Lonchura striata: one gene and its partners. The protein of the gene in region 4 interacts with the protein of the main gene of each other region in a pairwise test. Links are inferred from orthologs where the notes say so. Each region holds a gene or a part of one and is shown on either strand. Other genes may lie near its edges.

The links.
Region 1: the proteins of PSTPIP1 (region 4) and UBE2W interact in binary tests that used the Homo sapiens proteins (3 or more experiments, as listed by UniProt). The two-hybrid records come from large-scale screens. The link is inferred for Lonchura striata from reciprocal best matches to the Homo sapiens genes PSTPIP1 and UBE2W.
Region 2: the proteins of PSTPIP1 (region 4) and TULP3 interact in binary tests that used the Homo sapiens proteins (3 or more experiments, as listed by UniProt). The two-hybrid records come from large-scale screens. The link is inferred for Lonchura striata from reciprocal best matches to the Homo sapiens genes PSTPIP1 and TULP3.
Region 3: the proteins of PSTPIP1 (region 4) and PTPN12 interact in binary tests that used the Homo sapiens proteins (3 or more experiments, as listed by UniProt). The link is inferred for Lonchura striata from reciprocal best matches to the Homo sapiens genes PSTPIP1 and PTPN12.

Annotation. Positions count from the first base shown.
Region 1 is NC_134603.1:32,205,250-32,212,753, forward strand, and holds the start of UBE2W (ubiquitin-conjugating enzyme E2 W), read left to right. Parts: upstream 1-4,492; 5' UTR 4,493-4,520; coding exon 4,521-4,535; intron 4,536-7,504. UniProt on the Homo sapiens protein: Accepts ubiquitin from the E1 complex and catalyzes its covalent attachment to other proteins.
Region 2 is NC_134604.1:31,058,206-31,065,641, reverse strand, and holds the start of TULP3 (tubby-related protein 3), read left to right. Parts: upstream 1-4,423; 5' UTR 4,424-4,456; coding exon 4,457-4,497; intron 4,498-7,436. Other genes in the region: RHNO1 (RAD9, HUS1, RAD1-interacting nuclear orphan protein 1), read left to right, coding at 1,064-1,231, 3,410-4,060. UniProt on the Homo sapiens protein: Negative regulator of the Shh signaling transduction pathway: recruited to primary cilia via association with the IFT complex A (IFT-A) and is required for recruitment of G protein-coupled receptor GPR161 to cilia, a promoter of PKA-dependent basal repression machinery in Shh signaling.
Region 3 is NC_134607.1:61,223,769-61,231,725, forward strand, and holds the start of PTPN12 (tyrosine-protein phosphatase non-receptor type 12), read left to right. Parts: upstream 1-4,954; 5' UTR 4,955-5,138; coding exon 5,139-5,237; intron 5,238-7,957. UniProt on the Homo sapiens protein: Dephosphorylates a range of proteins, and thereby regulates cellular signaling cascades. Dephosphorylates cellular tyrosine kinases, such as ERBB2 and PTK2B/PYK2, and thereby regulates signaling via ERBB2 and PTK2B/PYK2.
Region 4 is NC_134613.1:4,993,006-4,999,854, forward strand, and holds the start of PSTPIP1 (proline-serine-threonine phosphatase-interacting protein 1), read left to right. Parts: upstream 1-3,834; 5' UTR 3,835-3,974; coding exon 3,975-4,007; intron 4,008-6,849. UniProt on the Homo sapiens protein: Involved in regulation of the actin cytoskeleton. May regulate WAS actin-bundling activity. Bridges the interaction between ABL1 and PTPN18 leading to ABL1 dephosphorylation.

The DNA of each region.
Region 1 (7,504 bases), on a different chromosome or scaffold from region 4:
TATTGAGAACTAAGATGAAAATTAAATACACTATTGATGAAAAACCTACGTAATCACTAAGGAATAAATCAACAATAAAATCTCAACAGCTAAAAGTTCTCTTGCATTTGAATTTAGTTTTAATAAGCTATTCTAATTTTTAGCTATGTGTGCAATGTATTACTTTTATATTCTTGATATAATATTCTATTGATTTGATTCTGCATCTTTAGTTGAAGGTATCTGCAGGTGCACCAAGCTTGTTTATACAAAGATCTTAATTCCACAGAGTTTTTAAACTCAGTGCCCTTCCTAAATTGGCAGGTAGGAGTAGAAGAAGCAGTTGGCACAATTCCCCTGAGGGGCAGGGAGTTCTCCATGCTCAGGAGATGCAGTCTCCTGGCACTGCAGATTACAAGTGTCATGCCACTCAAGTAATGAGGGGAGTTAACATCAATGTACAGTTTACTTCTGTGTAAGGAGACAAGATGAAAAGCTAAAAAGTACAGTGGACACAGGCAAAAGAAATTGATCTCTCGTGTCATTTTAGAACCAGGACTCATAAAGGAGATGGTAGTGACAGTTCAGTGTGTAGAAAAATTATACAGAAAAAATAAAAAGGGTGAGAACAGAGGGAAAAATGTTTGGTGATATTTGAAAACATTATGGACAACATGGGAATAGAATGTAAAATTACAGGGACCCTAATTAAGAATTATATTTTACTTCTTTGAAACTGTCTTGGTATATCAGAAAATTATCTAATAAATGCAGTTTGAACATTAGTTGCATTTTTCCTGTAAGTATAGGGTTTTGGAAACTTTGAAGAAAAATGGATTTTTAGGTCAACTTCAATAATATTTACCAAAAAAAAAATTAGTAGGAGGTACAATTTCATTATTTGCTCCATATGTTTTTGATATGTGAGTCATAATGTATTTGATCAGATCAGTGTAAGATAGCCTCTGAAATAATTAAGATAACAGATTAAATTTCTCTTACCCCATAAGCTTTGAATATTTGGGACCCAGAGCTCTGATCCTTGAAATCTCTGGCAAAACTTGGGTTGACTGGTGAAAGATCAGACTGCATTAGCTAAATACTAAAGCAATCCTTTTAAGAAACCAGTTATTGTGCTTTCCATCTCTATACCTGCAACAGATTAGGAAGGGTTAACTACAGAAATGTTTTCTTCTATGTTTTGCATAGGTAAAGGTCAAAACTGAAATGAAAACCAAATTACAATAACTTACTCCTAGTGAAATCTACCCTCTCTGGGAATTAGGGCCTTTCCTTAGTGGGATTACAGGATAATTTAAGATACTAATATTCATATATTCTTTCTGGGAGTCTGATAATAGTGTTTCTTTTCTTACTGTGCTTAGGGGACTGATTCCTTAATCCCTATAGCATTATGCATTGTACAAAAACATCTCTGCAAGCAAGGTTACCAGGAAATGAGGAAAGGGGGAAAACCCAATAAAACACAGGGATAATTCTCCAGATTCCCCTATTCCCACAACAACAAGGAGCTAAAAAAATATTTCACATATATATTAGGCATTTAATGACACTTTAAAAAAAAACAAGATGTGACAATGGTTATAAAAGACACCTTTGGTAGTCCTGTAAGAATAAACTCAAAGTGTATTTGGGGATGTGGGATTCTGCCCACGAGTTTCAACTGCAGCATAATGCTTTAATTACTTACATACTCACTTAAAATTGAGTAGGTAGTAATTAACTCATGCTCTATTTATATGCAGGGCAAACTAGCCCTTGCTTTTCATGCCTAGTATCCTCAGGAACAGGATCTGCAGCATAGATTAAGTAATCTCAGTAAAGAATACTTCAGTAAAAAACTTAGTAAGTAGCTTGTTTTTAATATTGAAAAGCTCTGATAGATAAAAAAGACTTATTGAGCATAAGGGCAGTTAAAAGCTGTGATTTACATTTTTTTTTTTTTTGCAAAGATGGCTTTTTATCCAGAGATACTTTTCCTTTATTACAGAGTAGAAATCATATTTGTACTGAATACAGTTTGCCTAAGACCACAAAGCTGATCTTTCCATGCAAAACCAGCTTGCAGTCTGTTAAGTGTTCTGGCATTCACAAGCTTATGCTGCTTTATATCTTCTGACCTTCAACAGGGTTTTCTGGAAGAGGCGTAAGAAACTGAGTATAATGGTTTGAAATCAGTTGTATCTTGCTGTGAGTACATCAAAACAGATAGTCAATATGTCCATGTTTATAACTGAACACATGTCCATTGCTTAAACTTGATGTTCTTGCTGTCTTTGTGGCATATGGCATTAAGAGATGTATTTTAGGATAAACATATGTTTCCATCATGCAAAACAACAACTAGTAACTGTTCCACTTAAGTGCTGTAACAGCCTAAGTTCATTCTGAAGAACTGCAGGAAAGAGAAGCCTTTACCAGCTCTATGTGTCTGCTTAATGCAACAAATCCTCTGCAACCTAAATGGTCTTGCAAAAATCATATAGTAATACATACTGACTTCCAGGGAAAACATGGCTGAGCAATGTCAGGTTGCATAGCATCAGGAGCCCATAATTTATAAATGAGAATTGGATTTGGAAGACAAGACAATGTATAGGATGCAATTTACATGACTATACTTTTCCCATCATTACTTTTGGTAGCCTAATTTCCTTTCCTACTCAAAAATCAACAAATAATGATTTGGTCTTCAGCATAATCTTGCAAAGCCATGGGGCTTGTTCACTTCTGCAGCTATCTCACAGGGTAAAGATACTCCTGCTGTCTTCTTCTGCTTAAAGGGTTCTGCCTTTTAAGCAAACCCCAAAGTTTGTATGCTTACTTTAACAGCGATGACAGTGTTGATACTGGATAAAAGTTGGAAACTGATGCTAAGTTGTGCTGGGGTTTTGTTTTTCCTCCAGTTACCCATTTTCAAAGTTAAGGATATTAAAAACTTACCAGAAGGTAAAGCTTGTACGTAAAGGTAGTACTTGCATCACACTAAATAATATGGTTGAACAAGGCAGACTGGCTTTTGGGTGCAGAACCCTTCTAGAGGTCTAAAATTAACGAAGATTTCAAAGGTAGTACAAACTGCAAACAATTGTTCAATAATTTGGTTTTTGCTTCTCAGTCCATCTCTGAAGAAAAAATCAGGGCTACCACTGGAGCAGAGGTGACCCAAGAATTTTTTAACATTGTCAGAAAAGGAGAGGGGTGAAGGGGCAGAGGAAGGGGCTTCAGTGTTTTTGGAATGTGCAGCATGAGCAGTGGGGAGACGGGGATTATAATGACCTCTAAAATCAGTTTCTCTATTAAATCCTTAGTTTTACATAACCACTGGGATTATAAATTTTATAGGTTGTTTTTGGATAAACATTTTGTAGGTTTATCTTGAGGATCTGTTAGGTCTGAAATACTCCAGCAGGAATAACAGCTTTACGAAGCGTGTTTCCACAAGTTGTTTAATTTATTGATTGCACACAGTCACTCTACTGAGTGCTGCCTGTTTATTTTCACCTACACAGGTACGGCAAAATCACCTGGTGCAAAGGACAGGGATTATTCCAGTCCAGGAAATGAAAACGTAGAACCCAGGAACGCTCCGACCTAAAGCACACCCACGTTCATTTGGAGTCATACACGAGCAGACAGCAGTGCAGGAGAGCCAGATGAGCTGTGGCACAGCAGCACCAGGGAGCGCACAGAAGGAGCGCGGCGCCGGCCCGGGGCGACCTGCGGCGGGGTCCAGTGACAGGACATGGAGTAATGGCACACACTGAAGGAAGAGGGATTTGGGTTAGGTATCGGGAGGAAATTCTTTACTGTGAGGGTGGTGAGGCACTGGAAGAAGAGGCTCGTGGATGCCCCATCCCGGGCAGCGTTCGAAGCCAGGCTGGAAGGGCTCTGAGCAGCCTGGCCTGGTGGGAGGTGTCCCTGCCTATGGCGGGGGTGTCGGATCTAGATGATCTTCTAAGTCCCTCCCCGCTCCTTAACATTCTATGGTCCTACGATTGTATGGCACTCGCACCAGGGAAAGCCCGGAGAAACCCACACGACGGGCGGGCGCAGTCCGAATTTAACCGAGTGACTTAAACACTGCACGTGGACCTCTAAAAACCTTCACAAACTGAAGCGGGCTGGGGATCAACCCCTTCCCGCCCCGCGGGTGGCGGTGATGGGCATCGCGCCGCTCCCGCAGGGCGAGCAGGGCACGGGCAGCGCCGGGGCAGCCTCCCCGGCGGCGGGACCGGCAGCTCGCAAACAAACACCGCCCGCCCGCGCCGCTCCCGCTCCTCGGGGCCGCCCGCGCCGCCCGCGCCCCTCCCGCTCCTCGGGGCCGCCCGCGCCCCGCCCGCGCCGCCCGCGCCGCCCGCGCCCCGCCCGCGCCCCGCCCGCGCCCCGCCCGCGCCCCGCCCGCGCCCCGCGCACGCGCGGCTGCCCAACGGGCGGGCACGGGCACGTGACCGGGGAGCGCGCGGGGCGGGGCCGGCCCGGCGGCGGCGCGGAGGGGAGGGGGAGGAGGCGGACCCATCATGGCGTCGATGCAGGTGAGGCGGCTGCGGCGGAGCCCGGGGCAGCGCCGGGGCCGGGCGGCGGCGCGGGGAGCCGGGAGCAGCCGTTCCGCCGGGTGTGTGCGTGCGCGGCGCGGCGCGGCGCGGCGCGGAGGGAGGAACCGCCCGGGCAGAGGTTGAGAGCGGCGAGGTCCCGGGCAGCGCGGCCGGGGAGGGCAGGTGGCGGCGGACGGGCCGGGATGGAGGCGAGGCGCGCAGAGGTGTGAGGGGCGAGGCCCGGACTCGGGCGGGGCGGGCGCGGGGGGAGGCAGCGGGCCCGGGGCGCGGGGGAAGAGGCGCCTCAGGGAGGCGTCAGGGGCGATGCCGCCGCTTCCTGGGCAGGCGAGGGAAGGGCGGAGGGATGCCGGCCCCCGGGACTTGGGAGGCCGCGGATTCGCTGGGCGCCGTGGGAACGTATGGCACCGTGCGGGCTGCGCGGTCAGCGGGGCCCTCCCCGTGTCGGCGTGGGACCGTGACCAACAGCCCTGAGCTCCTGCGATTCCCCCGCACGAGGGGGACTGGGACAGGCACGTCCTGCTCCAAGCCGCCTGCTGCCCGTGGGGTTCTCTTTCTCTCCGTAAAATGAGGTTGCGGTGTGGGGTCAGCTCTGGGGACAGGTACCGTCTGGCTTTCTCGGCCGGATGGTATTGCTGTAGGTACAGTAGGATGGAACATCCTGCTGCCTGACAGGTATTTCCAGCTGAATTATTCATTCATACCTACTCCGAAGGGGTTCTTAAACAGGGGCTGCAGAAATTTCTCTGGTAGAATGGATCGCTTTCACTGTGCTGCTTTCAGTGGGTAATGCTTTATTATGACTGGGGCAGGAGAAAAGAGCTCTAGGTTTTGTGGCAGTGGCCCCTTTCTCTCCTTATTTAACCAGTAACTTCTCTACTTTTTCTCGGATATTTATAGTTTTCCATTTTGTTTTTATATTTGAATCATCTAGATCTCATTTTGGTCCAGTACAGCTTACATTTTTTGTCACTAGTAATAGAACAGCATGGAAAGAGTGTATAAAATGAGTGAAATTTGTTTAATTTTCATAATAAGCTGGATTTAGCATAGCCAAAAAGGATTTAAATGTCAAATTATTGAACTGTATGGGATAAAAATTATTCTCCTGAAGTTTAGAAGCATAACTCCCCCTTCCTCCCCCCATTCCTTGGTGTGTCTTTCACAGTTACTGAAATGAAACGAGATCTAGAAATTGAACGTACTGTACAGAATGTTCTTTTAGCAGTAGCTTAGCAGGTAGTCTGATGTGCCTTGGTTTTATTAGCTCTATCTGTCAAATGCATTTTTGCAATGCTCTTCTTCTAATGTACAAACTTTTACAAGCTCAACTGCAAAATAGAGGCTGTAGTTTCTTAAGAAGTGTCCTTTAAAAAACCGTGTGAAAAGTAGGAAAATGGCAGCTGTGAACCGGGAAAGAGGCACGCTGTAAAGGGACTTGGCAGAGCTGTGCTGTGTTGCTGTCTCTGGCCTGGTAAATGACCTTCTACAGCGTGCCTCACCCTAATTCCTGTTGCTCCCTCTGTAAAGGGAGAAAAATGGTTACATATTAAATGAGGTTGTTGAGGATACAGGAATGACAAGTGTTGTCTAAACGTCAGATGTGTGGAGGGTAATACTCACTTCCTGAAATACACCCTGTTAAGTCTGATGTTGTAATTGCATTCATTTTAGAAATACCAGCTGTAAGATGGCACTTTTTGTTTTCTTACGTGATGTTCTGTTGTCTTTTGATAAGAGATTCAAGGACATTTATGGAGATTTTTTGTCTGTATGTTGCTAATTGCATAATGCTCTAATAAATTTCTGATGTTTAGTAATCTGCTAATTTAATAATGTAGTTTAGCATGTTGGAAAGGAGTTGTAAACTGGAAGCATAAATGCAAATTTAGTAAGTGAACTTACTAAATTTAGTAAGTTTATTGTAGACATGCTCCCAGATGACCAAGATTTCAAGACTGAATTCTGTCAATTAACATTTAAGTGTTCAGTGTAAAAAAATGTTTTACAAAGGAAACCAATATCTATAATTTTAAGTGGTTTTTTTTTTTTTTGGTCCAGAATCATTTATTATAATTACTGCTGTGTACTAAGTTACTTGACACAACAAAAAGATGTCATATTTCTGATTAAGTATAGTGTTTTTAAATACACAGTGTTTACCTGAAACGTTTGTGAAACTCATTGCCATCTCTGGCTCTGCTAGTGGTGTGACACTGTACTATTATGACAATATTATTTATTTTATTGATAAAAATGATACACTGGTGCACAAAGTAAGTTCTAATTGCTTCTTACACTGCTGTAATTTTATACAACAGTGTATGATGCCCCAAGTTAATTACATTTATTTTAACAGATTCACAGAAAAGTCTCAGATTAAGTTACAAGAGTTATCTGATTAGCCTGTTCTTAGTCAGTCTTCAGTGAAGCTTTGAAACTTGTAATAAATTGCCTCTTTGCTGATGGCTCTGAGCAGCAACCTGAACAGTTACTGCAGTTCAGTGGATGCACAGTAATTTGTGACTCTGAGTCTTTGTATGTATCATTAAACTTACAGTGATTTTTATCTGTGTGGACAATCTGTAATGGGAGTTTTCTGTAACCCTTTTTTTCCGTGACAGTAGAAGCCAATGCTTATGAGACCTTGTGTTTTGTTTTCTAACCACAGTGTTGTTGCTAATTTGCCACTGCTGGACTGGTTTAAACCTGGTTTGCATAACTTTAGGCAAATCATATTTTTTCTTAAAAAAAGCTAACACACCTTAGACAAGCCTTTAAAGGAAGAGCACTTATTTTCAAGAATTTTCCCAGAAAAAGCCCAAGCATGTGCTATGTTTTCCTGGATAAAAACACAGAAATATTCTGAAAAGGTACAAGTAATGTAGAACAAGGGAATAGAATGGATTTGCTTTAGAAAATTTTGATATAGCATCTTTAGTAATCTGAAG
Region 2 (7,436 bases), on a different chromosome or scaffold from region 4:
CGCTCTCTACAAGGGCTTGAAAGGAGGCTGTGGCCAGGTGGGGTTTGTAACTTCTGGAGGCATCCTCTGCAGAATGTCTGTCAACTTGTTTCAATGGAAACTGATTTTCTGCTCCTCTCTTTTTGGCATTATCTAAGTTTTTCATACCTTTTTCACTACTAGGTTCCTGCATAGGTAAAACCTACCCTACATGTTCTCTCAAGCACCTCTCAAGCACCTAGTGATGGAACAAGGGGACATCATCCGAAGCTGCACCAGGGGAGGTTTAAGTTGGGCATTAGGAAGAAGTTCTTCACAGGAAAGGTGAAGACAGGCGAATGGGCTAGGGAAGTAGAGTCCCTGTCCCTGAAGATGTAGCACTTGGGCCATGGTTTAGTAGCCATGGTGGTGTTTGGCTATAGGTTGAATTTGATGATTTCAGAGGTCTTCCAACCTAATTGAGTCTGTGTTTTCCAATAGAAAATTAAATACAATGTTACTTCAGTTCAAACTTATTCATTAGGCAAAACAAATCATGCAAGATCTGTAGAATACGGGAGATGTCAACTCTGTTTTGTAAAAAAGAAAAAAACAAACTTAAAATCCCTTGAAATTAAAAACACACAGGTAGTTAGCAACCAGAAAGGGAAAGAGTTCTGATTATCTTAGCCTTACAATATCTTCTTGGCATTACAAACAAGACTGAATTGAAAAAAAGAAAATAAATTTTTTGGCTTTTTTGTTCTTTTCATAGCTGACTTGTTCTTTTCATAGCTGTATCAGTAGGTCAACAGCTTCCCTTCCTGCAGTGCATTTCTAAATCTACCTGAAAATTAACAAAAGGCCCAAGAACCACTATTGGGAAAAAGTCTGCCTCAAGATGTATACACTGTGCTGTTGCATAAATGTTTTGCTTTTGTTAAAAACTGCATCTGAGGTTTCCAAATGAGTCTGTCTTCAAATCCATTTATTTGCTTCTACAGATTTGAGAGCACTTTCGCATCTCCTCAGGGTGCTTCCATCTTTCTTCAATTGGCTCCAACAAGCATCATGAGGTTTCTAAGTAGTTTTACCACACCTTTTGATGCCTCCAAAGAAGAAGTGTACCCACAAGGCCAGGAAGGCAGAGCTGATTTTCCTTGAGAAACCACGGGCAGGACCCATCCATTGTTATGAAGCTCCACTGCATTTGGCTGAGAATCCCAGACGTGTGCCTACAAAACCTGTAGACCTGAACACCTCTGCTGCCTGGGTTGGTACAAATTATCTTTCCTCCTGCGTCCCACACCAACAGTTTTCAAGTTTCTCCTGTTTCTCCTGTCTTAAAAGAAAGTTATCTGTTCTGGATATGGAAAGTTAGTAGCCCAGACCTGAATTCCTTCTATCAGTCTAAAGCATAAATAAGTGCTTGAGTTGCTTGACATTCTAAGAATAAGCACTAAGGTCTTGGTTACTTGAAGACATAAACTGTCTGCAGTGTGTACTGATTAATGAATATTTGTCTTCTAGAAAAATTATTCGCATCAGGAAAACACTGTTTTCCTTAGCAACCAAAACCCCTGCACAAAATAATCATTAGGGGAGTCCTTTCTTATTGGCTTGCTGTTTAAAATAACTGCTGAACTCTAAATGTTCGATGTTAAAGTATTGAGTGTATTGTTTAAATCTGAAACTGCTAAATTTAGAGAACATAGGTTTTTACTTCAGAATCATTTGTTCTAACCTGCTCTCTTTTCCATTTATGTTTTTTGAGTAGTGTCTCTCCATACCAATCTTCTGATAGGTTCATTTTCTTGGGACTGTTTGCCATGTCCTAGAATACTCTTTATATCATGTAATATAAAGCTTTAGTTTTTTTAAGCAAACAGCTGCAGCAAAGACAGACTGTTCCTATACAACAGTAGTCATCACCTAGGGGAGCTCTGTTTAAACATTATTGCTGCTTGACTGCTCTTCACAAAGCAAACTCAGGAAGAGTGGTTTCAAAACTGTATGAAACATTCCTTTGTTCCTGTTGACCTGCAGGTATTTTTGTAATGCCTTAACCTTGAAGTAGAACATCTTCAATTTTTTCCTCTTTAAATTTTTTTTGTATCTGCTTGAGGCAGTTAGCTCTACAGTTTGTGAATCACTAAGTGAAATAACTGCTGTGAATAAGCATTCATTTTGTTTGGAAGAGGTGGAAGCATCCACTCTGGTAGCTCTTTGATTCCTAAAATATTCTAAAATTTGTTTGAAGCTATCAGTACTGAAACTGTTAAATATTTCTCAGTTTGGTAACTGTGATAGGTTTGTAACTTCTGGAGGCATCCTCTGCGGAATGTCTGTCAACTTGTTTCAATGGAAACTGATTTTCTGCTCCTCTCTTTTTGGCATTATCTAAGTTTTTCATACCTTTTTCACTACTAGGTTCCTGCATAGGTAAAACCTACCCTACATGTTCTCTGAAGCCGGAAGCCATATCCTTAAAATCAGGGATTATGTTAAGTATGTGCTAGTATACAATTATTAAAGAATCATTTCTCTTTTCCTGCAAAATGGCTTTGGAGTCAAACAGTTCAGCTGTACATTAGACAATCACCATCCTTAGTTAAATTGCACTCAGTGTTTTGAGGAACTATATTGTAACCTAGGAATGCTGAAGGAGATCTGTAGTTACCATAGCAAGAACTCAGATTGGTGTGCTCTTGGGAAAAGCAAACTGGAATCTGAAACAGAGTCTGACTCTTTTGTTGGTAACCAGGAAGACAAACACTGTAATGAAAGGATTTTCAGGGTTTGAGAATGAGTCCAGAATCATTCACAGAAATACAGACTGTTGAGCTTGGACCATCTCTTCTATAGGAAGCTGATTGTAGAAGTGGATTTTGGGTGATCTGTTACTCCACAATACAGAAATTAACTATGTTTTGAAACAAAGATGTTTGGGGGGAAGATTTTGAACACCCTATTAACATAATCTAAGGGGATTGAGCTAAGCGGGCATTCTTCAATCATTTTGTGTTGCTCTCCCAGTTCAGCCTCTACTTCTTTGGGGGAGGCTGAGGATTTAGTTCTTTGAAGCTATTTGAGTTATGCTAGGTCAGAAAGAAAAAGGATCCATTCTGAACTTTCTTAAATCCTCAGGGGTTACAGGAGTAGACATCATTAGATTTCCTTTAAAACCCAGATCTCAAGCTCTTTGTGAGCTGCCGGAGAACAGCTCACTTTTGCCACCCTAATGACTTTCCAGAGAAAAGTGGCAGAACACGATGCTGAAGTTCAGAGGTTTCTCATGCATAGCAGCTTTGTTAGTGACTCATTTGCTTTGCTGCAGAACAGATTACTCAACGAACACACTGAAAAAAGGTGGGGAATAGAATCAGGTAGGTATTATTTGTCTGGAGGAAAGGGTTGGGTTTTTATCTTATTATTATGTCTTTCCCTTCAGGTATGCCCACAATTTGACACAACTAAGGCGGTGGTGTTGAAAGCACGCCAGAAGAAGCATCGTGGTCCTCAGAAGCCCTATAATCAGGATGCTAACCACAGTTCATTTCATGCAGGAGGAGCTTGCCGAGGAGCTGTAGCCTGCAGATTTCCTCCTTTAACTTTTGAGAATCCAGAAGGACATGCAGTCCCTCTCTTGGATGATCCAAATTGCTTGATAAAGAATGCACAATGCTCTCCCACCCAGCCTAGGAAAGGGACAGCGGCAAATGCCAACATCCAGGTGAAGAGCCCAGAGAACTGTGGAGAGCTTGTTCCCCAGCCTGTGGAGCAAGATGTCCTTAGTCCCTCAGATGCAGAGGCTGTACAGGCTCCTTCCCCAAGGAACGGGAGATGCAGCAGCACTCTATCACCAAGTAGTCATGCCTGGCATCCAGAAGAAGAGCTGCCATTTGGTGTTGATCCGTGCGGGAGAGGGGAGGCGGCAGCAGTACTGGTCACGGATACCCCCGAGCACGAGTACGGAGTAAAGGTCACCTGGAGACGGCGGCCGCACGTCATGAGCTACCTGCGGGAGCAAGGCAAGCTGAGCGCTGCGGACATCCTGGTGAAGGCAAACCTCGAGCTCTCGAGGAGACAGGCCCACAGCTGACCCGGCGGGAGCTGCGTGCGAGGACACGCCCGAACAGATGGTGTCCCTTAGGGCGCTGAAGAGGGACGCGATTTCAGCCGGGCCGCGGGGGCGGCTCTTGGCGACGGGGGAGGGGGTGGGGGGTATGCGGGGCGGTCTCTCCTGGGGCAGTGTGTGGCAAGGGCTCTGTGTCCCGCGGCTCCCGCCGGGGCTGCTCCCCGCTCCCCGCTGCCGGCGGGGGCGGCTCCCGCGGCGGGCGACGGGGGCGGCCGTTGCGCCCCGCCGCGCGTGCGCGGCGCCGCGGCCAATCGGCGGGCGGCGTGCTCGCGGCCCCGGCCAATGGCGGCGCGCCTCAGTGCCGCGCGGCGTTGCTAAGGACAGCGGCGGGCGGGGGCCCATAGCAACGGCGGGGCCGCGATGGACGCAGCGGGGGGACCCGGCGGGCCCGCCGCCCACAGGTGAGCGGGGCCGGCGGCGGCGGCGGCGTGCCCGGGCCCAGCGGGGCTGGGCGGGGGCTGCCTCGCGTGGCAGCAGCGCCCGGCGCCGGGATGAGCGGCCGCAGCGGGGCCCGGGCGGGCGGAGCCGCGCGGCGGCGGCCACGCGGATCGGCGCTGCCCCGGTAACATCCGCGTCCCGCCGGCGGGCGACAGCCGTGCCGCTGCTTTATGGGCGGGTGTGTTTTATGTGTTGGTGTGCATCGTCCGAATACTTGTAGATTAAAGCGGTTTTATGGTGTCTCGGTCCCCTCCTGGTTTCTGGGTGCCGCTGTGAAGCGTTTTCGCGGTGTTATTCAGCCCCTCTGCTCCTCCTCGTGAGCCTCTCTGGGTATTTAGTGTCACTCTCGGTGGGCCTTTGCAAGAACAAAAGGAGGAATGAACTCTGAAATGAACTCAACTGATGTAATAGGAAAAACAGCTGTGAACTATGGAGAAGCGGTTTTGGAAAGACTTTATGCTTCTGGCACTTAAGTAGCTCAAAATCGAAATTATCCGAAATTAAATTTGAGTGTACTGGCAGGCAGAGGAAACAGGTTTTGGCAGAATTGGTGTGACTACAAAAAAACCCAGGAAAATCTATTTTTGTGCCTCTATTTGGATAGGAAGAAGTAAAGCAAGTAAAGGGAGAAACCTAATTTTTGGGTAGGGAAACGATAATGAGCACAGTGTAGAAGAGAAACCATACTTTTTTTATTGCATACATTGTTACATGTGGTAATTTAAGGAGAATGAAAAACAACAGTAAGAGTTAGAAATGGTCCTGTAATTGCTTGGATCCACCAAATATGCTATGGAACATCAGTTTACTTCTTTATGCAGACTTGAAAGGCCTCGGTTTGACTCGCAGTTCTGAAAACAATTTTTAAGGAAATTATGTCCAGATATGTGTAAATTTCCCCGCACAGTAAACCTTTAAGCTTGACAGAGTTGACACTACAGGAAGTAATGCTGCTCTTCTGATAACAGTTCTACTGGCATAATTTCTTTCTGCTGAGAAACTTGTCTCATGTGCTTTTATGGGTGTCCCCCAGAAACAGGCTAAAAATAATGGCAATTCATGGGATTGCTGCTTCCCTCCCATCCCAGTTTATTAAAGAAACAAACATTTCTTTAGCTTTCTCGGTCCCCATGGTTAAGGTAAGAAAACTAGAATACATGAACCTAAAGAAAAGTACATAGTTTTAAAATAGATCTGTAAGGCTTGTTGTTTTTAGAGGGGTTTGTTTTTCTGGAGTGTTCATCAGCATTGTAATAAATTGGAGGAAGACAAATGTCTGTATTCTTAGGAAGGTTCTTCTTTTTCTGAGACAAAAATAGTAAAATTATCCAGAAGTCACAAATCTGGTTACTAGAACTCTTATTTGGTAAAATAATTGTCAGTTGTCCGAACAGTGGATTTTATAGAAAAGGTTAATGTGATAGATAATAACTGGCACTTCATGGCAATGAAGATCCTACAGGTAAAGCTTAACAAAGCTGTACCTGAGAACTGGTGGGCTGCAGGTTTTTTTGACCATTTTTCCCCCTAGGGGTGAAATGCCTTTACTATTGAGCAATGTGAAAAATACACATAAAGATATTGGAAGTCTTTTATTTCTGAGGGACAGAGTCGAATATTACCAGTAAAAAATTAATGCATATTGTTTTGTAAGTGTGCTGTGGGATACACGATGATGGATAGACAGAAGAGATCTTGGATTTAGGCCATCTACAGGCTCTCACTTGCAAATACTGTGTTGTGTTAGACTTCCTTTGACTGGAACTGGCTGCAACTGAAATTGCTCAACTTCATTTTAAAATTTGGCTTCAGGTAGACATGGCACAACTGTCTTAATGCTTTAGAAAATGATAAGCTTGATATTGCTGTTTCATGGTTTTGGTGAGTGCTAGACCTTCTCTCTTATTTGGGAAAGTCTATTTGGAGACTTACCATGAAATTATTAGTGTAGAAACATTCAGGTAAAAATAATTCTAATGTAAGCTTTTAAAATATTGTGAAGGAAATTTGTTTCTTATGGAAGTATGTATTTTAGAATCTCTGAGACCAATGGACTTTGCACTTTTGTACACTAATCACACAGTGTACAAGGCTTACAGCTTCCCACATGCTGCATTCCAAATATGCTTCAGCTTCGGACTTGCAGATGTCATTTAAGAGGAACAGAATGTTCAAGGGGCAAAAATCTTGACTGAGTCTATGGAGACTACAAAACTGGGCATCAATTACAGCGGTCCTGCCCTCATTTGGATGCTTCCTTGGGGTCCAGACATGCATCAGTTAGTGGCTTTCTGTTTGTGAACTCTGGAACTCTGGGATTTTTGCTCAGTGTCTCCCAAAGTTAATGAAGAAAAACAGCCTGTTGCCAATAAGCTCAATTTTCAAAATATTAAGAGCCTACGGATTAAGAGAAGTTGAAATCTTCAAAAGTGGACTGTTGTCTGGCCAGAAGCCCTTTCCACATTTTAGTAACTTGAGTGTAGTTGAAGTTGTCAGGAATGTGTGTGCCTGCTGGGCTTTGAGTATTTTATATAAATGTATAAAATCATAATTAGGATTTTGAGGAGAAAAAAGACAAAATACTTTGCTAATTATTTTAGCTATACTTGTAAACCAGAGAAGACAGATAAGTTTAAAATTCCTTTTAAAAGCATCTCAGCGTCTCTATTAGTCCTTGGGTATTTTTATTTAGCCACCAGTGATCTTAAAATTAACAAGCAATGTTTGTCAAATTCCAGGACTTACAATTCTGCAGATCTTATCCTTAGATGATTGAGAATTGGCTTAAAATTCTGTGTTCTTCACCCTTTTCAGCTCTAAACATTATAATGAAGAAATCTGTTCAAAGTGAGATAAACCTGTAAATATTTTATAAGTGTGGTTGATATGTACCCCTTGGAGT
Region 3 (7,957 bases), on a different chromosome or scaffold from region 4:
GTGCTGTAGCAAGAACAAAGTTTCTTCTGTGTACAGAAACTGTGTTGGTATTGGGAGGGGGCATATGCTACACTTAGTCAGGATTTCAAAATATGCCCTGATCATGGAACTCAGTAATTCTGGTCTAAAATTCTTATTACCTGCATAAGAAATGTCACATATAAAGGGTTTTAGCAATATCACACAATGAATCCCAGAAGATGGTAAATAAATAAATAAAAATTAAGCAAGCTAGGTAAAATTAAATTGTAGTAGGAGTATTTTCAGTGGTAATTACAGGAGTCTGACATTGCTGAATTTAGAGTAATAGAGGCAAATGTCAAGAAATTCAGCAGTCACATGGCACTTAATGAATATGAATGGAACATATTATACAGACACTGATCAAATCTTTATGACTAATTTAAAATAAGATTAGTTTCAGATTTAAATCAGAAATTCAATTATTTTGTAGTATAGAAAGGATACAGTGTATCTTACTTAGATCTATTGTCCACAATGCCTTTTGTTTCCAAAATTAGAATTTTGAGACTCCGTGGAGGTTGCTGTATTTTAGTTTGTTACTTATAATCTAAGTGGTTAAATTGTAGCTGAAGATCAGCCAGAAAATTTGATACAGTATTTTTATCATCTTCAGAAACAAAAGTGACTAATACTGAAAAGTTTGAGGATAAGAGTATATAAAAAGTATGTGATTCTAATATTCCTGAATGTTTCATTTAACTATTTTCAACCAGCTTGAAACATTTTGACATTCATGGAAAGACACATTGTATTTCAGTTTGTCAGATCAAAGACAAATGTTTCACTTGGACTTAGTTTTTATGTGTACCCTTGAGCTGTTCAACAGCTTCCTGGCATTTATACTCCATGCTCCAGTTCTTTCATGTGCTGAGTCCCTAACCCAAGTTGTGCTGACTTCAATGGTAAAGACATTTCTGCATCTGTAAGTATAACAGTGCATTGTTTTTGTCGGAAAGCAGAAAAACATTGCCAAAATTGTTTCCTGTGGAAAATGTAACTTTTACAGAAACAGCATTTTCCATTGAAACACCACATTTTTAGAAACTTCCAACTAACTGCACTTAAAGTATATTTCAGGAGTGTTATTATGAAATCTATAAATGCTAACATCTATTTTTTATCCTAAATAATTTTGATTTCAAAAACTTTTCAGATACCCAGTATAGATGAAATTAATTAAGCTTTCATGTATAGGATATATTTATCATAATTTAATAATAATTTCAGTATTACATTATTAATTATACAACAACATAAAGTGTTATGGTGAATTATGGTTCTTTTGCATTACTCCAAATAGTGAAAGTTCATGGGTCTGCAGATTATTGCAGCGGGGAGAAGAAACCGGTGACAAAGTGAGCAATCATTGTAATGTAGTCACACAAAATTACAAGAATACACAAGGTCTTGTTTTGCTGGACAAAGGAGGTATTAACACTGCTGGAGGTGATGCCCTTACTCAGAGCTGTAGGGTTCTTGCACCCTTCCCTCCCACCCCAGTTCTTTGATTTCTTTCTGTAACATACTTTTGGCTAGATATGTGCTGGGTTCTGAACACAGCTTCAAGCCACAGAGGCACTGAAGCCAAACAGCTTTGATGTGAGCCTGTGCCCCATCGCAACTTGAGGGAAACCTCTGAAGGTTGGTAAACTGGGATGTGTGGTAGTCCCACCCATTGACTGGGCAGCACCATGGTATGCAGGTCAGGAAGCACATTTACTAATTTACACCATGTTTACCTTGTGGGAACATGAGAAGCCACCTTGGAACAGAAAAAAGTGTCTGTCTTCCTTCCCTGCTGCAGCTGGAGCAGTGCACGGCAAGGCAAAATGAGATTATAGCAGAGAAGCTGTAGGTGATTTACTTGTTTTTCTTCAAGGACCATACTTGTATGGATTGTTAAGACAAAACTAGAATTTTCTTCTACAGATTTGGGTTGAAACTTCCTGTTCTATCTATAGGGTGAGTAATTCATGCTGTGTGTCTGTTTTTCCGCCCTGCTCCTACAGTTACACAAATAGGCACTCATGCACACATGTTGCACTGGTCAGGTGTCTGGGGTTAACCCAGATAGTATGAGCCTCAGATCAAAAGTCTGAGTTAAAATGCTATTTTTGCTGCTGAGGCTTGAGGTGTCTGTTCATAGCACAGACATGAGACAACCTCATGCACCATTTGCAGGGCTGTGGGAGATAAAACTGGTGCTGTTTGGTTTGCAGCTCTCCCAGGTACATGTACACATACACAGGCAGACAATGCCTGGCACAGTTCTCCACACTATTCCTAATTTCTTTGTTTCATATATAACTTTGTTCTGGCTAGTGACACATGCCTAGTTCAGGGGCTTTTTTTGTCTTCTGAGACTGTATAACCTTCTTATCAGTTAAACCAAATGAAAGGCCACAGCTACACTTGCTGGTTTACAACACTTTGTTACAGTTGAGTTGCAGATGGTGAATTAAGCCAGACTAACAACTGGGTCCTTTCCATGTCAGGCAATAACGATACAGATTCATCATGATATTTCTTTTCCTCTTCTGTAACTTGGTTATGTGAATAAATGCAGAAAACCATATAACATTCAAGACTTCATTAATTGGTTGTGTAATCTCAAGTATCACTTTTCTGAAGTTACCTGCCATCTGGCACTGGGAGCAGGTTTGCCAGGACAACTGCTGAACAAACAGCAACCTTCCTAAGCAGATGGAAATCCAGCAAGATGGCACAGAGAAACTATCTGATGATCCAAGACCCAGCTATCCTTGTGGTCTCTGGTCTCTCTCTAATTTCTGTCTTTCCCTTTAATGCTGCTTTTTGGTATTTTAGAAAAGGAGGTTTGGAAAAGGCGGAGAGGAATTAAAACAAGAAAGGCAGATAACCTTGTGGCTCTTTGGGGCCAATTGATTAGCTTATTATGGAAGCTGGTGCAAAGGACATGGAGAGGAGACTGAACATTGACAGTTGATGTGTTTGTGTGGAGTGCTCACTAAAGGCTTCACTAAACTGCAGCACAGAACTGATGCCCTTTCCCAGCTCCTTCATGTGTCCTTATGTCTCTTTTCTCTATATTAGCTGATGAACATCAACAGCTAAAAAACCCAACCCCTTAATAAGATGCTGAAGTCTGCAGCAAGTCTTGTTAAAATGCTAAGCCTGTCAATTTTCCAGCCTACCCTTCTGCCAGAGATGGCTGTGTCTGTAGCAGATGCAGGAGAAGGAAATGTGTGTCCATGCATCAGCAGCTACAGTTCAGGTTCCTATCTCAAAGCTTGCCTCCATCAGGAGGATAGTAAGTTGGTAGGCTGAGGGTGGTAATGTGCTATTGTACTAATTCTGGTGTGGAACTGGTGTTCTTTGGCAGCCTTCTAAAACAGTAGTATCTTACACCAACACAAAAAGACCAAGCTTTTTGTAGGTTTCTTTTGGTAACAAAACCAGATTAATGGAATGATCAGAGAAGAAAACACGCCGATTTTCTATGGAGCTATATTGCAGCTGAGTGAGTTCCCTGAGCCGGTTCGATGTCCTGTCCGACAGGGGCTGTGTTGGTGGGACTGCGAGCGCCGCACGCTCCCGGGGCAGGGAACGGGCGATTGGGCAGGAGTGACTTAGCTGGGTTATACTTCTCAGCTTGGATCTTTATCTGCCTGCGTGACAAGCTTTTACTGGATCAACAGCATCACTCAAGGCCGTGTAGATCTTCATCAATAAAATTACATTTTGAACGACTTCACTTGGCTATATTTATTAAGCTATAAGGCTATACATACACACACCTCTACAATTGCTTTACTTTGCTTAAGCAGAAGTTATAAGTGTCATCAGGACACCAAACATGGTGTTTAACTTTTCCATATAACATTAACAATGAAATAGCACCGTTGCCAAATCCTCCAACACCACGTAAGGCAGAGATTTTAGGGTATGTTTAAAATAGGAAGGCGCGGGGTGTCTGAGCTGCGGTGCCGAGGGGCGCGGGACCCTCTCCCCGCCCGGCACCGGCCCGGAGCCCGCAGACACCTGCCGGCAGCACTTCCATGAATCAGCTTCGCCTGAGGACATTTTTATTAAGTAGATCTCTCTGTCTATCTATCTGCACACACATACATATATATATATATGCACACACACGCCCACACATATATATATATGTACACTTCATAGAGCATACACTTACATATCTATATATATATGAAAAATTAATATAAACACACACATATATATACCCTTAATATACATACATACAAACACGCGAGGAGCGGTCCCTGGCCAGGTGTCGCGCCCGTCCCCTGTCCCGCCCCGCCATCTTCCCGCTGCTCGGCGTCCACCGCCGCCGCGCCTCGCGGCACGGACCCCCGGCACTTCCCACGGCTGCGGGCTTCCCACCCGGGGCGGGACCCGTCTGATCCGGGCGTTTCGGTAGGATGCTGCGTGAGCTCCCAGCTCCGGGACGCGGCGCTGTCGCGACTACATGCCCCGACATGCCGCTGCCTCCCGGCGCGGCGCCGCGGGCACCCACCGCCGCCCATTGTGCCCCGGCCAGGGGAAACCGCGCTCCGCTCAGCCTCCCCCGCGCGCCAAGTGGTCCCTTCCAGCGCTCCATGAGGCGCCCTTCGGGCGATCCCATCCATGGGAAACGGGGGGGGGCCGGGGGAGAGGGCGAGGCGTGGAGCCCAGCGAGCGCTCCCTCGAAGCCCGGCCGGCCAGTGATTGGCGTGCCCTTCCGCCAATAGGGCGAGGCGGCGGTCGGGAGAGCCAATGGGCGCGGAGCGCTGCCGGGTCGGGGCGGGGCAGAGGGGAAAGGGCGGGGCGGGGCGGGCGCCGCGCGTGCGCGGGGCGGGGGGAGGCGGGGCCGTGTCGTGTCCGTGTCGCGGCTCCGGGGAGGGTCGGGCGCAGGGAGGGGAGGATGGAGCGGGCGGCCGGGCGGCCGTGAGCGGGGCGGGAGCGGAGCCAGAGCGGGGCCAGCAGGCCGCGGGCAGGCCCGGGCGCGGGAGAGGCGAGGCAGCGAGGGCAAGGAAGGCAGCCGGGTGACGGGTCGTGCGGCGGAGGGGGCTCCGGGCGGAGAGCGGACGGGCGGCTGGGCTCCCGCTCCGCAGGGCGGTCGGCGGGGCAGGATGAGCCAGGAGGAGATCCTGAGGAAATTCATTAAGCGCGTCCAGGCCATGAAGGACACGGACCACAATGGGGAGGACAACTTCGCCAGCGACTTCATGGTGAGGGGCGGCGGCGCGGGCGGGGCTCTGCCGGCCCCGGGGCGGGGGGTGCCCCGCAGCCCCTTCCCCATCCCCCGCCGGCGAGCGGGTGTCGGGCGGGCGGGCGGCGCATCCCTGGGGCTGAGCTGCTATTGTGTGCCCCGGGGCTCGGCCGGCTCCCGGTGCCCGCCGCCGCTTCCGAGCTCGGCGGGGGAGGGAGAGTGTCCGCCGGGATTCAGCCTCCTTCCTGCCCTCCAGCCCCGGGAGGTTTGTCACCGCGGCCCTTCCCCGCTCCCGGGGAGCCGGTGGTCAGCGGCTCTCGCACAATTAACCGGGGGCTCCTCGTCCGCCCGCCCCGCTGCTTCCCTGAGCACATAAAGGGGACAGAGGCGAGGCGGGGGGGCTGCGAGCGCTTCCTCGCCCTGGCAGCCCCTTTTCTGCAGGGTTGCCGTCTGTGATGTCAGCTGGGAATAATCGGGCACTCCTTCCCTCCTTCCCCTTTTATCTGCTCCTGTAGCTGCCTGCTTGTGATTTCTCTTCTTTCCGAGGAGATGTGTTAAACGTATTGATAGTCCTTGGAGGAATATTCATTTTCCCTTCGCTAACGTCTCCCATCCCCCATCGCAGCCCTGCCTGTATCCCTCGTCCTTTCTTCCTTCCAGATCAGTTCGTCAGCCTTTGCTTAACGTGTGCTCTCGGGGAAAAATTCTGTTGGAGAATTAGTGCTTTTCCTGGTTTATTTTAGCTGTTTAATCGGGCTGTTACAATATCTCGGGAGTTTTATCTTTTGAATTGGTCGTCGGAGCTGTGAACAATAATTTTGATTGGGCAGATGTTGCTGGCACTTTTAAATATAATTTAAATGCTTACTATTAAAATGCAGTTTGACCCACAGAAGAGCTGAAGGAGAGCGGGTTAATGCCTTCCGTATCTGTCTTTGTAGCTCGTTTTATTATGCGTGGCTCTTTGGGGTTAAAAGCACATCGTTAGCCCTTTAAGCTGTCAGTCTGTGCTAGTGGTCTGGGAACAAAAAAAAAAAAAATCTCAATGTCAGTGTCGCATCGGAGATTGTCCGAAATGTGGGGAGGAGGCCGCGGATGTTGCGCAAGGCGGAGGGGCGTTGGGAGCGCTGGCAGGTCCAGGGCTGGAAGAGGAAGTGGACTTTGGGAAGTAACGAGTTCATCCAGGGTGGGGAGGGAGCCCGTGGGAAATCGGCCACGCTCTTTGGGCAGGATTTTGCAAATGCTGAAAGTATGCTGCTGAAACATCTGAGCGTGTGGGAAAGGAAGAGAGAAAAGCGTGAAATGAAGAACGGCATTGGAGCCATAGGACCCTTTTAAATCTTCACGTGAGAGCTTAAGGTTACAGAATTTGACAGAAGCTTTTCATTAAGTCGTAGTTTTAGTAATACAATTGCTATTTAACACGAATTGACATCTTGCCTTGTACTGATGAGCCTGTCTTGTTAATGTAAATTATATATACTTTACAGAAAGGCTGGCCTAGACTGTTGCAAAATGAGGGACGCTTTTAATAATCTTTATGTTAAGTACTTTGTTCTAGATCTCCTAATCCGCCTCTACCATTCCATATCTGACAATTATCCTGATGTTTTAGCTTTGTTGTAGTCAAATGATATATAATAGATATTTTTATCATACTTTCTTTGAAGCAGTGGCACATCTGTATGGAGAAATAGCTTTTGGTTCAATTTCTCTATTTGACAGTGGGTTGTTTTTGTAGCTTTCAACAGTATAGACAGTGAGTTTTCCCATTGCTTTCCTGTAGCTGCAACAAAAGAGAATATGGATAAAAATGGGAAAATAGGATTATAGGAGCTAATTGGCAAGACATTTCAGGAGAAAGATGTATTACCTGAAAGAGTGTTAAATGTTTTGGGGAGAATTGTGTGGAAAATTTATTTTGTCCTTTAACACTTTGTTTTTCAAACTTTCGTATTTGATTTTTGTATCGGAAATTAAAGGAAAACCAGGAAATTAGGATCATTAGTTCTAATATTCACCTTTATGTAATAAAGCACATATAGATTAGTGTGATGACAAGAATCATAATTGCTGATTTTTAAGGTTTTTTTTCACTATGAATGTACTGGAGTATTTTGGGATTTTTAGGGTATGTGTTTTGGTGTGTATTTGGCTGTCCTAATAGAGCCATGCTTATGTCCTCTTTAAAATGATTGAAGAGGAGGAAGGAAAGAGAGGTAAAGGGGATATAAGTTTCAGTATTCTGTTCAGTTAAAGAATGAGTAGGTATTTTTTGAGGGTGAGAAGGGAGGAAGTTGTGTTATCTCATTTAAGTGCATGATGTTCTGTGGCTGTTAAATAGTGGCAGGTTTGTGGAATAGGAATTGCTGTTACTCATCCCTTCATTTCCAAGTCAAAATGGAATCTAAAATATGAATGGAATAGTGGGTGAATGCAAATTAAAACAATTCTTTAGGTCTTTATTGCCTTTGAATGTGTTGAGTAATAGGCTTAGAGAGTTGTATATAGGCCTGGGTGAGTGAACTGAAAGTAGGTGCTGGCTGCCAAGGAGTGCTGGAGAGGTTAGAGAAGCTAGAGGTGTGCACAGGTAGGCTAATAAGCCTGGCTGATTGCTATTGAAAGTCCAGAGTGTAGATGACTAAGACTGCAATTTAATAATGCCATTGACATACCTGGAAACAACTTCCGCTTGGAAGGTGGAAAGTTGATTATTACCCACTCCACCAGTGCCTCCCC
Region 4 (6,849 bases):
CTGTGAGGCTGCTTTTGGAAGGCTGTTCGAGCAGTTCCCTCTAACAGGAGCAGAGGGAGCTGAGTTTCAGGGCTGAGCAGAGCCTGGTGTGCAGTCTGGGCCGTGCTGAAGCAGCCTCTAGCTGCAGCCACAATGGTCCAGAGCAGCTGGAACAAACCAAGCCAGGTGTTCAGAGGCTGCAGTTTCAGTTTCCATGGGAACACAGACTGGCTCCTCACAGAAGGCAAGGTGATTTCAACATTTTTAATGGGTATGATTTGGGATAATTTGCAAGCCCCTGACATTTCCTACATGGAAATGCAGAGATCCATTCATATGGAATTAGAACAGTGGGCAGAGCTCAGCTGCTGAATCATGTCTGTTTTAGCCATGGTTTTGCTCTGGCAGTGGTTTCCTTGCTGCTCTGTCCCCAGGCTGTGGGGCTCAGTTGGACACCAGGAGCTGTTGGAGTTTGGACATGGCTGCACTGCAGCCGTTGTTTGAAGCTGTGTCTCAGATGTAACGATTCTGGAGGCTGGGAAGGACTGCACCAGTGCCTTCCAGTCTCCACTGGCATTTGCCAAACTACCATTCTAAGGGATCACAATATGCCTGAGGACTTCTGAACAGTACAACCAGCTCAACGTTGGGATTATCTGAGTATTCAGCATTTCTTTGTCTTCTGCCTTAATACTTTCCATGGACTCCCTCATACTCTCGCTATGTAGAATAAAAGGTTTACTGTCTTCTTAATCAAAAACATTTCCTCTGAAGAATGTCTTGCTTGGTGTCGTGGATGAGCACAAAAATGTTTGTAGATGCTATTTTTGTATTTTGCCTACTGTCAAATCCAAACTTGCCACCCAAATCCCTGATAAAAAGCTTTGCTTGAAGTAGTATATAGTTAAAAATTAAATGAAACTTCCATTCTAAAGAATGAGAAAATTTGAGGGCTTTCAAAACAGTGTTTTTTTTAAAAAGTCAAGACTTATCCTTCTTACTACAGAATGGATTCAAATGGTACATTCTGCTGCCAAACAATTTAATTACTGGGGGAAAACCCTCAGGAAGTGTGTTCTTGGCGTTACCAAACAGAATGGCTGATTTTACACCTCTAAGAGCAGTGATGGAAGGAGATGCAGCGGCTGTCAGGGAAGAGTTCCACTTAAGGCTCCTTGTTGATACTGCTGGATTTCTGAGAGAACCTGTCAGGTCAGGCTGAAATCCCTTTAATGCTGGAGACAGGAACGTGACAAAACACACCAAGGCTGATGACACAGCAAGGCAGCTTGGGTCAGGTGCAGCTCTCCCGTGTGGCTCTGATGATCTGTGTGGTTAACCCTGATGGGCCAATAGCTGCTCGTGTCCTCGCCGGCCTAGGCCTGCTCCCCAGTGGTCTGCACCAGCCCAGTTCCATAATTAAGGTCATTAGTTGTGTTTTGGTTATCAGATTGGGATTATGGATAACTGAGGCCTTTGGGCCAGCTGTTAGCCACCACAGCCTTGATATCCTGTTCCTGTGTAGAGCAGAGGGGATACAGAATTGTGTCCCCCTTCTAAAGCCCTGCAAAGCCCTGCACGGCACAGTGCCTCATGGATATAACCCAGTGCCACTGGGACCTGGGGGCAGAGACCCAAATTGACCCAAATCTGCTTCATCACAGCTGGGCTTGGTCTCACACCAGCTACTCTGGCAGCTCATCCAAGTTCCCGAACTGGAGAGCTGCTCTGGGCTGTTCTGAGGAGCTCACCCACAGCAGAGTGCTGATGGCGTTGAAGCGTGAGAGCTGCTGGGAGGTGACTGTGCTACACCAGAGCTCTTGGGTGGGATGGATGCAGGAATAGAGCCCAGCCTGAGGTTCAGTCAAATAATAGGCTTTGTGGCTGGAAACCAAACTAAAAATAACAAGAAAATAGCATAACATTTTAGAGGGCTAAAACACACTTGGTCCATTTTTATGAACCCCAACAGCAGCAAAGATGGTTTCAAAACACAGCTGTAACTTGGAAATAGTAACAGGAAACATTTAGGTTTGGAAGGACTGAGATAAAACACTTCAAAAAAGATCATTTTCTTTTTGGATACAGATCAAGTATGACTAGTGTCCATGCCCTCAAAATACATTTTTTCAAGGAATTTTCCCTTCTGGAAGAAAGTTTCACTCCTTTCTCCTCAACATTGTCTGCAAGTGAATCCTTGCATTTCTCCTCCCACTCTCATGCAATGATGCTTTCTTCCTGCTACATCTCTGACCTTCCAGACTCTCGTCTGCTCTCCTCTGCTTGCACTTCATTTTCTCTCACAGAGTCCCTGCATATTCCTGTCTTCTTCATACCACCAGGAAGGAACCTGGCAAATTCTTTTAAACACCAGCTACAAATTGACCACAGAGTGAGTAGGGGTAACTGCAGCCCCCAGCTGCTGCAGAGCTCTCTGAGCAGAGCCCCGAGTCCTGCTGGAGCACAGGGAAGTTGCAAGACTTCCCCACCCCGGAATGATCTGCCCGGGGGCTGCTGCTGGAGGGCAGCAGGACAACAGTACCCAGAGCAGTGTCAGACAGGCAGTTGGAAACCAGTAAGTCCTGATGTGTTGTTGGTGTGCACAGACAGCTTTCACAGAGGCAACCACCACAGGACTACTTTCCTTTTTCCTCTCCTCTCCTCTCCTCTCCTCTCCTCTCCTCTCCTCTCCTCTCCTCTCCTCTCCTCTCCTCTCCTCTCCTCTCCTCTCCTCTCCTCTCCTCTCCTCTCCTCTCCTCTCCTCTCCTCTCCTCTCCTCTCCTCTCCTCTCCTCTCCTCTCCTCTCCTCTCCTCTCCTCTCCTCCCCTCCCCTCCCCTCCCCTCCCCTCCCCTCCCCTCCCCTCCCCTCCCCTCTCTCCCCAAAAATGCAAGTGAATTTTTAAAACTAGGTATTTAAGAATGCTTAAAACATCCTAAAAAGGTGAACAGAGGCAACCTCACCTGGAGGACAGGTGCTTTGGAGAGGGTTTCAGGAAAGCTTTAGAAGTGTTACTCTGTGCTCAGGTATTTGCAGCTGTGTTATAACAACTGGAGGAGCTGATTTGGGGAGCTGCCTGAAATACTTGGTGTCAGCAGTGTGCTGCTGAGTGCTGCTGCTTCACTGGTCTGTGAGGGTTCACTCAGGTCCTGGTGCTAACAGATTCTTAGCTCTTCTTTTTGAGGACTTTGGATTTTACTTCTAAATTTCACATGCCTTACATATTCATATAAACATTTATGTGAGGGCATGCAAATCAGGCGTGTTCTCTACATCAACATCCAGGTATCTAAATGTGTGCAGACACCTGCACACTTCTCAGGCTTCTTAATTTAACCTGAGTCCTGAAAAGCCTTTCCAGATGCAAAATGCAGCTTTGAGCTAAGTTTCCTGTGTGCAAAGGCGTGGGCCTCTGCCAGTCCCAGAAGGTGCTGCAGAAATGGGGCACTTATGTTTCTTTAGCTTCTTTTTCTTTGCAAGACCACAGCAATAGAGAATAGCTTGTCTCTATGTATTGTGGTGGTTTCTTTTGCACTGTAATTGTTTTCTCTCTTCCTTCAGCTGATCAAATCATATCACTGAACTTAGTGCCTTTTTTTTTCCCCCTCTATTTTTTTCCTGTCCGCTCACACACACCCATGGCAAGGAGCAGCCTGACACCATTTGACATCTCTTTGCTTCCTCATTTCAATATTAACTGTTTACCAGAAGAGAAACAGGTTTGGGGTGCGGGTGCTGAGCACTTGCCTGTCTCTGTTTGTGAGCAACAGCTCTTTTGCCCTCTGTCCCTCACAGCCACAGGTCATTTCTCTGAGCTGCCTGGAACAGCCCCATGCTATTGGCACCAGCCTGACTTCAGGAGGGACAGGTCTGTGGATGTGCTGCACTCTCTGCTTGGGCTGGGGTGCAGTGACAAGGCTCAGAGCTGTGCCTGCTGCTGCTCTCACTCCACAACGGACTAGCTGAAGCATTCCTACCCCTCTGCAGAGCAATAATAATGGCCCAGCTGCAGTTTAAAGATGCTTTTTGGGTAAGTGAGCATTTACTATGTGTTTCCTATATTCAATGTACCTGTGTTTTAAAATCTTTTAAAATACAGCTTGGTTCTGTATATAGTTTAAAACTAATTTAATGTTGTTCTGTGTTCTCAATTTAATTTAGTGAAAATCCAAATTTGTCTCCAGCAAAAACATAGTGTTTGGTAATGTAAGTGTTTGATCCTGGGCAGAAGGATGCAGTGTAAAGAATATATCCAGTCTCCATGAAACCACTGACATTCCCAGATCCTGTACTAGGGCCAGAAACCTCTTTTGAAAGGGACATGGATTTGTCTGTGTCACAGTGGTAAGAACCTGCTTGCAGTGAGTGTCCTTAGCTCTGTGAGTGGCTCCCAGAGCAGGTGAGCTGTTGCTAATTATAGGCTGAATTCCCTCCTGTCTGGGGAAGAGCAGAGCCAGCAGCTGTGAGCAAAATGCTCCTGCTCAGCTCTCTCCAGGCTCCCTCCCTGCTGCCAGGAGCATTCCCAGGCATGCAGAGCCCAGGAGCTGTGAGGCAGCACAGGTTAGAAAGGACCAGCAGTGCCACTCCCCAGCTAAGCCCAAACTCACAGCTGAGTTTAGTATTTGCTAAAACTAGCAAATACTGAAATGAGGAGATTCGCTCCATACTTGTTATTTGACTTTTGTTTGAAAATCCTTTTGGTCTCCTGTTTTCAAGCTCTTTCTCTGCAGTTACAAGGTAAAAGGACCTTAGTAATTTCTCTATGATAATCTGAGGTTCTCTTGCAATTGGAGAATGAAAGTTCAAAATCAAAATTCTAACATTGCAAAGTTAAGTAAACAGGATGTAATGTGGTTGCCTCTTTTCTGGGCAATCATTTATCCAGCATTGAGCACTGACTTAAAGAAAGACATGAAACTATATGAATTCTTCCTGCCATTGCCTGGCTGTTCTTTCTCCTTGTGGTCTCTTTCTCTCCACCCACGCTTCAGGGTAAACCCTCTCTTGGTAGAAAACAGAGAGCAGAGACAAAAACACATTTCAGTGAACCACCATCCTCCAGGCACTTCCAAGAAGCCCTCCCCACCCCCACTGCAGTACTAGATTTGAACAGTTAAAAAGAATAAAAATACAATGAGGAAATATGAAAGTCGGTGTTGATGTTAGGACTGACTGTGCATGACCACACCTATGTGAGATTCTCCTCCTTTGTGCACACACTGACTGCACAGTGCAGTGCACAGGGTGGGACACAACTGTGGGCCAGTGCTACCCTGGGAGCTTCAGCCTGTGCATTGCTGAACTTCCTTGGAAAACAAGCCACCTGACTTCTACAGCTGGTACATTTGGTATAGTTACTTTTCAATGCCTTGGTCTTTAGGGAAAATAAAGCTATGGGGGTAGTGTGAGGGTGATTAATGCCAGCTGATGATCTGGCCAGGCTGGTTCTTCATGGCTTTTCTTCCCTAAGCTTCTCTTCTGTGCTTAGTCACATTGCCATGACTCAAACCCTTGTTTAGCTTTGAAGCTAACACCTTATTTAAAGGAAAGCATCTCTGGATTTCTTTTTTTTTTTGGCTGGATGTATTGCCCAGCTTGATTAAGAGGGCAGGAATGTATCTGGTTGCAGGATAGAAGCTTTAGCTGTTACAGTAAGTCTTTAAAAGTGAAAACTTACAGGATATTGCACAACACAGCACAAGTGTGCAGCATGCCCCCCAGATCACAAGATCAGCAAATATTTTTGCATTCATAAGGTTCTGTTGTGAGAGGAAAATGTATTCATGTGGTTTGCTTCAGCGAGCACTTATCTCCTGTATTTGGTCTGTGCACTGAACAGAAACTGCCTTTCTGATTGACACCCAAAAGGTGTTTGCCCCATGGTGGGTGCCTCAACACAGAGCCCTGATCTCTGATTGCTGCGCCCACTCCCTGTGTTCCGTGTCCCTGAACAACAGCTTCCTGCTCCACCATCAGGAAACTTTTGGATAAGCAGGGGTTTCCTCAGAACCTACCTCAATGTAGAGATCTCCCTCAGCTAGCAGAGAAAGAGCACCATTCATCCCTCCCCAAAGTTCTCCAGACTTCATAGAACAGGATGTGCTGTCTTCCAGGAAAATTGTTCCTCATAACAGGTTTAAGTTTTATCCTCTCTTTCCCAATAAATGTAGCAGTGATAGTACCATACTACTTTGTTCAATTTTATTCCACACTTAGTTCAATTTTATTTTCTTTGTAGCATGGCCTGAGCAAAAACCTGTGTATTTTTTAATTACAGTTTTTATTTATATGTACTCCACATTCTCTGTAATGGTTTAAGGGACAGTTGCTCAAAGTCTGCACTAAAATGTGCTTCTTAGCAGAAGTTCTCTATCCTCTGATAATATTTTTTGGGAAATGTTAGTGAGATAGAAATTCAGATCGAGTTTGATAGCCAGTGCAAGGCAGTTGCTGATGGATTAATATTCTGCTGGGCTGCTGTATGAGCCTGACAGATGTTACCTGTCTTCTCTAGCATCATATAAGACAGGTAGGGAAATTCCTATGTTAATGGGGGAGTGTCTGTGTGGCATCAGCCGAGTTCCATGTTAATGGAGTTGTGTTAACAGGCAGAGCAACAGTAATTGTTTTGTTATGAAAAACACTATCCAAGAAAATCTTTTCCCCTCAGTCACGGAGTGTCTTTCTGAGATTCATTCTCTGTTCTTGCACTCATTGTTGCTTTTCCTTAGTAATTTCTGTCATTGCCTTTTCCTTCTATTTAGTTTCCCTCCAGCCTGCTGCTCAAAACTGCAGCTGCAGCCCCTGGAATGCAGGTATTTCTGGCCAAGAGATAGGAAGGTACTGGCACCACTTCCTGGCTTTGCCATACC